2 linked regions of the Schizosaccharomyces pombe genome follow. The main gene of each other region encodes a partner of the protein of the gene in region 2 in a complex. Each region holds a gene or a part of one and is shown on either strand. Other genes may lie near its edges. A codon is read from its position in the direction of its gene.

Region 1 (4,263 bases), on a different chromosome or scaffold from region 2:
TTCAAAAGGCCCCTTAGCATGAAGGAGCTAGAGTAGTATTTTTCATACAATAATACCAAACATATTAATCAGTTAAGATAATATAAATTTTGGTAATATTTCATGAGCAAAACAAAATACCACAATATCATTGTGTGTAGTATGATATTGAAATTTAAATTTTTTAAGGAGGTTATAATGAAGCTTCCTTCATAAAAACAATCTTACACGACGGGACTCGAACCCGCAACCTTCTCGTAATTCACTCCCCAACAACGATCAGGTCGTATAGGAATGAGATGCGCTACCATTGCGCCACGCGTAACAACCTTTGCCTGGTTAAAATTTAGTATAATTTATGCGTAGCTTATTATGAGGATTAAATTTTGAAATATAGATTTTGCGGCATAATACGAGCTTAAAGAAACCAATTATTATATTTATTGTTGCTTATTGAAACGAAATAAATTTTATTCGATGTGTGATCTCCCAGTGCGAGAATACTGGATCAATTAATAGATTGACATAACTCTACGACCATAAGCAATTCTTCGATACCTAAAAAAAAATAACAACCACCAATATGAAGTGTCAATTTAGTAGTTAAAAACAACTAAAATAAATTGCATAAGTTTATGGGCTTATCTCGTTTTTACTCAACTTCAAAGCAGTAAGGAGCATCATTGCAATCTATACAATTGGCAATCGGATGCCTTAATCTTTTTTTTTAGTAGTTAAATCTTATCTAATATTCCAATTTCAGTATGAAGAGCAGCTAGATTTTACGACATGATCAGAAAAGACATAGTTTTATCCTCATGACTTCCAACTATAATAATCGAAGTACGATGCTTAGGCCAGTAAGCGATGCAAAGCATTTCAAGTTTGAACTTCAGGAAATTAAGAGTAACTTATTATCATGCTTAGTTATATTTCTTTACCCTAGATTGTATAAGCAGCTGATGAATTGGTGCTGACCATTAATTAAATTTGATGCAATGATGCTACTGATCAATTCAAAAGTAAAAAAGAAAGCTTTATACATGTAAATCTATTTCATCATCAGATTAACCGCTTATATACCCATGTGTACTTATTGATCTGTTTCCGTAAACATATTCTTAAATTAATAGAGGATTGTAATATTGCATATAGAACAATGAACTTAGTTTTAGGCAATTAAATCTCCGCGTCAATGTGATATTAAAGGAAACTGGAAATTCATTTTATACAAACTGATTATCTCGCACCCAGGTATATTTCTTTGCTTGCCTCCATTTCCCTTTTGTACGAAGCAAAAATTGACAAATGTGTTTAGCAATCGCAGAAAGAGGGAGTGTGATAAACATTGGGTTGGAATCTCTCACTATGCTTTGAACCTTGTGGGCTTCGAGAAGACCACTTGCCATCAGAGGAATCACAAAGCGTATTATGTCTTTTGAAGTGACAAGCATATAAACTGAATTTGACTTTCTCACAATCCGCCCATGTTGTAGTAATGTTTGCAAAGAGAAATTAAGCGCCAGTATGTGATTTCCATCACAGTTCTCTACTATTTCATTTTCGACGTTGAATATATGAACAAGTGGGAGGTGCAACTCTTTTGCTTTTAAATAAATAATGAGTTCTTCAATTGTAAATCCAGCTTGCACATTTAATTTACACATCTGCCTTATGCACTTAAGTAACTCCTTCGCATGATCTTTAGGAAAATAGGATTTCTTGGGTGTGCGAATGATTGAATGGTGATTTTTAGAGATTTTGGTTAAATTTTTTTTGTATCTCATCCTTTTCTGCCATGCCTTCCATTCATCATTTGGATCACGAAGTTCTTCAAACGACTGAGCAATTAATTCAACCTCAGATCGGAAAGAATTTATCTTTCCAAAGACACAGACAACATTTCCAGGAGACATAGATATTGCTCTTTTTGACATTGAAAAATCATCTTGAATAATAAACACGACACGCAATACCATCCCGCTACAATCATCCACTAAATTCAGTTAGGAAATAGAAAAAAGGGAGCTATAGAGGCAGATGCTTCTCAAAAGTTGATTTTATAAAAAACCTTAACTAGATTCAACAACTAAATGAGTCGTGTATGCAGTAGTGGAACTGCTTATTGCCTCAATGCTGATATTCGTTACCTGTTAAAACATGCTTTCCTTCATAAATATCAATTGCCGCAATATAGCCAACAATTTGAATCCATCTTATGGGAAATCCCATCCAGAAGCCAATGTATCCTAGATATTTGTAAGAATCACTTTGTGATATTTATTTTACAGAAAGAGCACTTACGCTGTAAATGTGGATGAAATGAAATTTTATGAACATCGCTAATAAACATGGGGTTCCATCTTGATAATGTAGGAAATTGATGCGTTAGTTGATTTTCATTTTCTAGCATTTATTAGGTCATTCCCTTAAAGACTTTCAACCATATGATTTGCAATTTTTCAAGTATATAAGTAAATAAAAATTAGTATGCTTCTGGTCAACTATCAACAACAATCGCAGCGTTTTCGAAAATTAAGCAATGATTTGGTGTTTGTGAAGTCTTCATCTTCCTGAGTGCGCGTAATAAGGATAGAGCAATTCTACGAGGATAATAACTATTTAAGTTTCTACAGTAAGATTAAAAGGAAAAAAAATATCTTAACTCTTTATTAGGACATGCATTGATGCTGTTATAAAAAATGCTAATTGACTAAACAACTTTATCAATTGAATTTAGTCTGGTTTCACGCAACTTAGTTATAATTGAATTTGAGAGAAGATCCTAAAAAAGACGTCTACTGACAAAAAGTGAGAGTACAGAATTCGTCAACCAATTTTGTAAATGTCACACCAATGTGCATTGTTTATATCTTGCTAAATTCTAGCACACAAATTCCTATCTTCATATACCGGATAATTCTAAATTATATGATTTATTTATGAATAGGGAATACGCAAGGAGGTATGAAAACCAAACTTCTTCAGTTATTGATGTTTCACATTCAACTGTTTTGAAGATAAATTATATTGCTCCTACTGTGTTCGATCAAGAAACCTCGTGGAAAAATGCATTCTTTAAAAGAGTAACTAAAAAAAACCAAAACTCCCAACTTTTTTTTGTTTTATGTTTATAACGGTCTATCAATTCTTCAATAAAGTGTTACCAAACAAAGCACTTAGAGGTAAGGATGGCAAAAATAAAGGCTTTTCTTAGGTCGAAATATTTGTTGTGAAACAAAGGGTATCCGCGAATAGCATGACAGCGGCTGTTCTGCTCAGCTTTCATCTGAAATTGAATAAACTAGCAATACCAAGAATACAAACAATGTACCCAAACTCATAGGTAAAGCATATAGAAACAAATAACCTCTTATCATCAGTGAATATGAATTATTTTTGCTGAATATACTCCCTGTTTTCAAAATTTAGTCTCACATGATCAATGTTGTTTCGACAAATGTCCTATGTATAAATGTAACAGCCACTATGTGACCTTCACCAGAGCCATACTTGGTAATAATACACTTTTAAGCATACGTTAAAGGGGTTTCGATTGCTGACAATAGAAAAATTTTTTAATTAAATTCTAAATACAACGTTGCTAGTTCAATCGAACTATTCTAAAGTCAGTTTAGTGAAAACAACATGGCCGAAGTTTTAGATCTTGAAATTGACCCAATTTCAGATGGAGAAGATGATACCTATTCTAGTGAATTGGATGATGATTTAAAGGATTCCATTGAACAATTGGAACGAGTTTTATGTTTGGTGGTGTTCCCGTTGTTAGGAAAGTTTCTTGGTCGTAAATTCGCATTTCATGGTAAGTTAGTATAAATTAAAGGAATAGGAATAGATGGTGGATTTTTTTTATTTGCTTTTAGTTTCTCAAAGAGGAAATAAGTTTTGCAAATAATTGAATAATAGAGCAAAAAAATCCGTTTTTGGAGAAAGATTGAGCACAACTGATTTTCTTATTCCATCAGCTTGAATTATAGCTTTTTCTTCCTATAAACTGTTTTTAAATGGTCTGCTTGTTGGTCTACATTTACATCTTTCGTTATTTTTTAAACATTTTTGTTTCCATTACTGTTCTATTAGTCTTTCATTCTTAACCTTTTCTACATCCTTAAACTTCTGTACATTTATTGTATACTAACCCTTGGATTTAGCATGGGCTCGCTGGTTAGAACGGAGGCGCTTGGTTAGTAATTAAAAAGATTTATTTCTGAATCTTCTTACATTCGCTGGTTTAATACTTATTGTTTCTGTTTCTATTATGAT
Region 2 (2,828 bases):
ATGGCCCTTCGAATCTTTCTTCATTTTCTTCGGTCCTGCTTTTATCTAGTCCAGTATATTGTCGCGTATATCGCAATGTTACTCGCAATGTATTATAATGGCTATGTAATTTTATTTCTCTTTTGTGGCACCTTCTTTGGCTATTTCCTGTTTGGTGCGGATACCATCTCTACTAAGGCCTCTTCATCTGTTCAAACGAAAACGATCGTTCAAGTCGCCGACGAAAAACACGAACATGATTCCAGTCAATATTCAGACACAACACCTACAACCGAATAGCTTGATTATCTCTAAATTTGGTTTAGTATTCCCAATTTCATGCACCTCACTCATTTTCAGTGCTGAAGCGTCTGATTAATCATAATCGTCTTCGCTTTAATTTCTTTCGCACAGTCACTGATAGTTTGGAAGAGGATTCTTTGATGAATGTTGAAGCCACATATTACATGTCCATGTTGGAAAGACAAAACAAATTCTGGTAATTTGTCTTAAGTTTTTACAAAGTAATAAAAGTTTCAACAAAAATAAATAGATGCCACAAGGTAACGCTTATCTTTGTTAGTTAAACATTCAAATTAGAGTATATAGCAATTTGAACAGATGTAATTCGTTCCTTTTTTTTTTTAACCATGATTGTTTGTTTTCGACTTTGAACCTGGAGGTTAATAAATATTTATTATTATAAAGACTGACATTAACACGATTCAGTACCTTTATGGTATCTTAAGGTGATCACTTTCTATATATTTTTAAATGAGTTTGTAATGACATGGTGCAACAGAACTACATAAGATATTCATCAATCACATTTTTGACGTTCAGAAACCATTTGTCGATATCTCGGAAGATTAATTCCAACAGCAGATCGTATTAACAAGACATCCACAATACCATCCTGCCGCTTTCTCCCAACAATGTTGAGCCACTCATGCTTTTGAATAGATACATCAGGTAAAACTACTGTAACATCACAAGTCACGCTGCTTGATCCATCAATCAACCGTAGAATGCCATTCTTATATGATTGCACGCATCCTAAAAATCGAAGTTTTTGGCCGTCCTTACAATCGTTAATTTGATTAATGAAGATAAGTTTAGCACTATCCATCAGCTGCTAAATATATTGTAAAAAGGAGAACAAGGAAAGATGAGGGAAGGTGGTATAGTTTGTGTTTGGAAACTGGGTAATCGATTGAAATATGAATTTCGTAAATGAGCGACTTAAGATCGCAGCTTTAATTAAGAAAACGTAGTTTGACTTTTTCAAAAGGAAAAATTTGCATTAATCCTTAAAATGTGCAGAAAGACTACACTCTCGTTTGCAATAGTAAAAGCAAAATCTAATAATCGTATAGTACTATCAGTGAGGCATATTAGATTGATAAATAGACCAACATTTCCATTATTATTATTTATGAATTGGTTTACTTGAGCAACTCCACAAAAAACGCAAGCATGGTTCTTTTGATTAGTTTTTATAAATTAAGTCAGATGGAATATAAAAAGAGAAAAATAAATGCTTTGGCCGGGAATCGAACCCGGGTCGAATCGATGGCAACGATTCATTATACCACTAAACCACCAAAGCTTCTTGAAATATCTTGTAAACTTGTATAATATAAGTAGCTATTAACGATAACGATAATTATTTATTATACCATTATAATATTGATTAAAATCAAGCAGAGAATTGGAAACATGTTCTGATGTAGTTGTTTAAGGCCTTATAAGAAATCAATAGTTCTTGTAATAAATTCCGATTTTAGTTATAGGGCCAATGCGGCTAATATTCACTTGATAAATTGAAGCTGACTGTAAACAAAAGGTTACCCCTTACTTAACCATTTGATATTATAATTTACATTGCAAAAAATTTGGGTCAGTTTGAAAAGGTGTGTACATTTCCTAAAAATCTATGGAAAATTGAAAAAAATAAAATAAATTTAATTTAATATTTAAAATATCATGCTTCCAGTATTCAATATAATCGGTATTTAAATTGAACCATGAACAGATTAGAAATGGTTTAAAAAAAAAACAGCAAAACAAAATTGTATTGAATTTATCCTACAATCAAAATGCCGTTAACAATATTTTTTAGCTTGAATCTTCCGATTTCTCTTAATAAACCGTCAAAGTGCCAAAAACCAGTTTTAATATAACGAATTATATAATATACATTTAAGGTGCCATAAACACACTGCATTATACGTATTGAAACTAAGAGTGTGGATACTGTGCATATAGAGACTGCTAAACTCCAGGAAACCCGCATTTGGAGAGTAATTTCGTGTTTTTACTCGGAAAATTGCAAGCCTTAATACGATTCTTGTAAATTCAAAAGTTAGAACTCTTCCAAGTGATTTTTTGCGTGTTTTTTTGCTGTTTATTTTTTTTTTGCATTGAGCTCTTTTGTCACGTCGTTGCTATAGCTTTTAGGCTTTGAGAATCTTCGTTATAACTAATATTATTTGAAGTGTGGGTTTATCCAAAAGGCCCTTTACAGTTTTTTGTGTTATAACCTTTTCTCAAAAAAATTTAAAGCATCATTTCTAAAGCGACACCAAAATTAAAATAGTTGAAAGAGTAAAAACATGTTGTTTACAATCAAACCTTCATTTTTGAAGCCTGTAGGCTTCATTCAGACTCGGAATTTGAACCGGCTATACCCTAAACAACGTATTCCTAAGCGACCTAAAATTCCTATGGGTTCCAAAATAGCAGAGGTAACTGAAACTACATCTGCTTATTACAATCCACCAGCGTCTTCTCCAGATGTTAGGATTACTCCTCCTGTTTTTCGCTATGATGCACCTCCAATTCATCAG

The links.
Region 1: the proteins of ten1 (region 2) and stn1 are in contact, whole or in part, in a crystal structure (PDB 3KF6), measured with the Schizosaccharomyces pombe proteins. Residues at the interface, in NP_001343093.1 of Schizosaccharomyces pombe: Asp2 (codon at 1,105), Ser3 (codon at 1,102), Ala4 (codon at 1,099), Leu6 (codon at 1,093), Lys20 (codon at 1,051), Arg22 (codon at 1,045), Val66 (codon at 913), Leu79 (codon at 874), Arg81 (codon at 868), Ser82 (codon at 865), Ala83 (codon at 862), Val84 (codon at 859), Gly85 (codon at 856), Ile86 (codon at 853), Asn87 (codon at 850), Arg90 (codon at 841), Tyr91 (codon at 838), Met94 (codon at 829), Val95 (codon at 826), Glu97 (codon at 820), Arg98 (codon at 817), Cys101 (codon at 808), Asp102 (codon at 805); in NP_001343021.1 of Schizosaccharomyces pombe: Phe22 (codon at 2,329), Tyr55 (codon at 2,175), Ile56 (codon at 2,172), Ala57 (codon at 2,169), Asp71 (codon at 1,973), Asp72 (codon at 1,970), Cys73 (codon at 1,967), Ser74 (codon at 1,964), Gly75 (codon at 1,961), Met76 (codon at 1,958), Val77 (codon at 1,955), Ser98 (codon at 1,892), Pro99 (codon at 1,889), Gly100 (codon at 1,886), Asn101 (codon at 1,883), Pro129 (codon at 1,799), Asn130 (codon at 1,796), Glu132 (codon at 1,790), Trp133 (codon at 1,787), Trp136 (codon at 1,778), Gln137 (codon at 1,775), Met140 (codon at 1,766), Lys143 (codon at 1,757), Lys144 (codon at 1,754).

Annotation. Positions count from the first base shown.
Region 1 is NC_003423.3:1,160,691-1,164,953, forward strand, and holds stn1 (telomere cap complex subunit Stn1), read right to left. Parts: upstream 2,393-4,263; coding exon 2,284-2,392; exon of another isoform or gene 2,229-2,283; coding exon 2,130-2,228; exon of another isoform or gene 2,000-2,129; intron 1,976-1,999; coding exon 1,206-1,975; 3' UTR 795-1,205; downstream 1-794. Other genes in the region: protein mim2, read left to right, coding at 3,628-3,802, 4,152-4,195.
Region 2 is NC_003421.2:819,050-821,877, forward strand, and holds ten1 (telomere cap complex subunit Ten1), read right to left. Parts: upstream 1,170-2,828; 5' UTR 1,109-1,169; coding exon 800-1,108; downstream 1-799. Other genes in the region: Cu(2+) transporter complex subunit Ctr4, read left to right, coding at 1-279; mrpl20 (mitochondrial 54S ribosomal protein mL58), read left to right, coding at 2,595-2,828.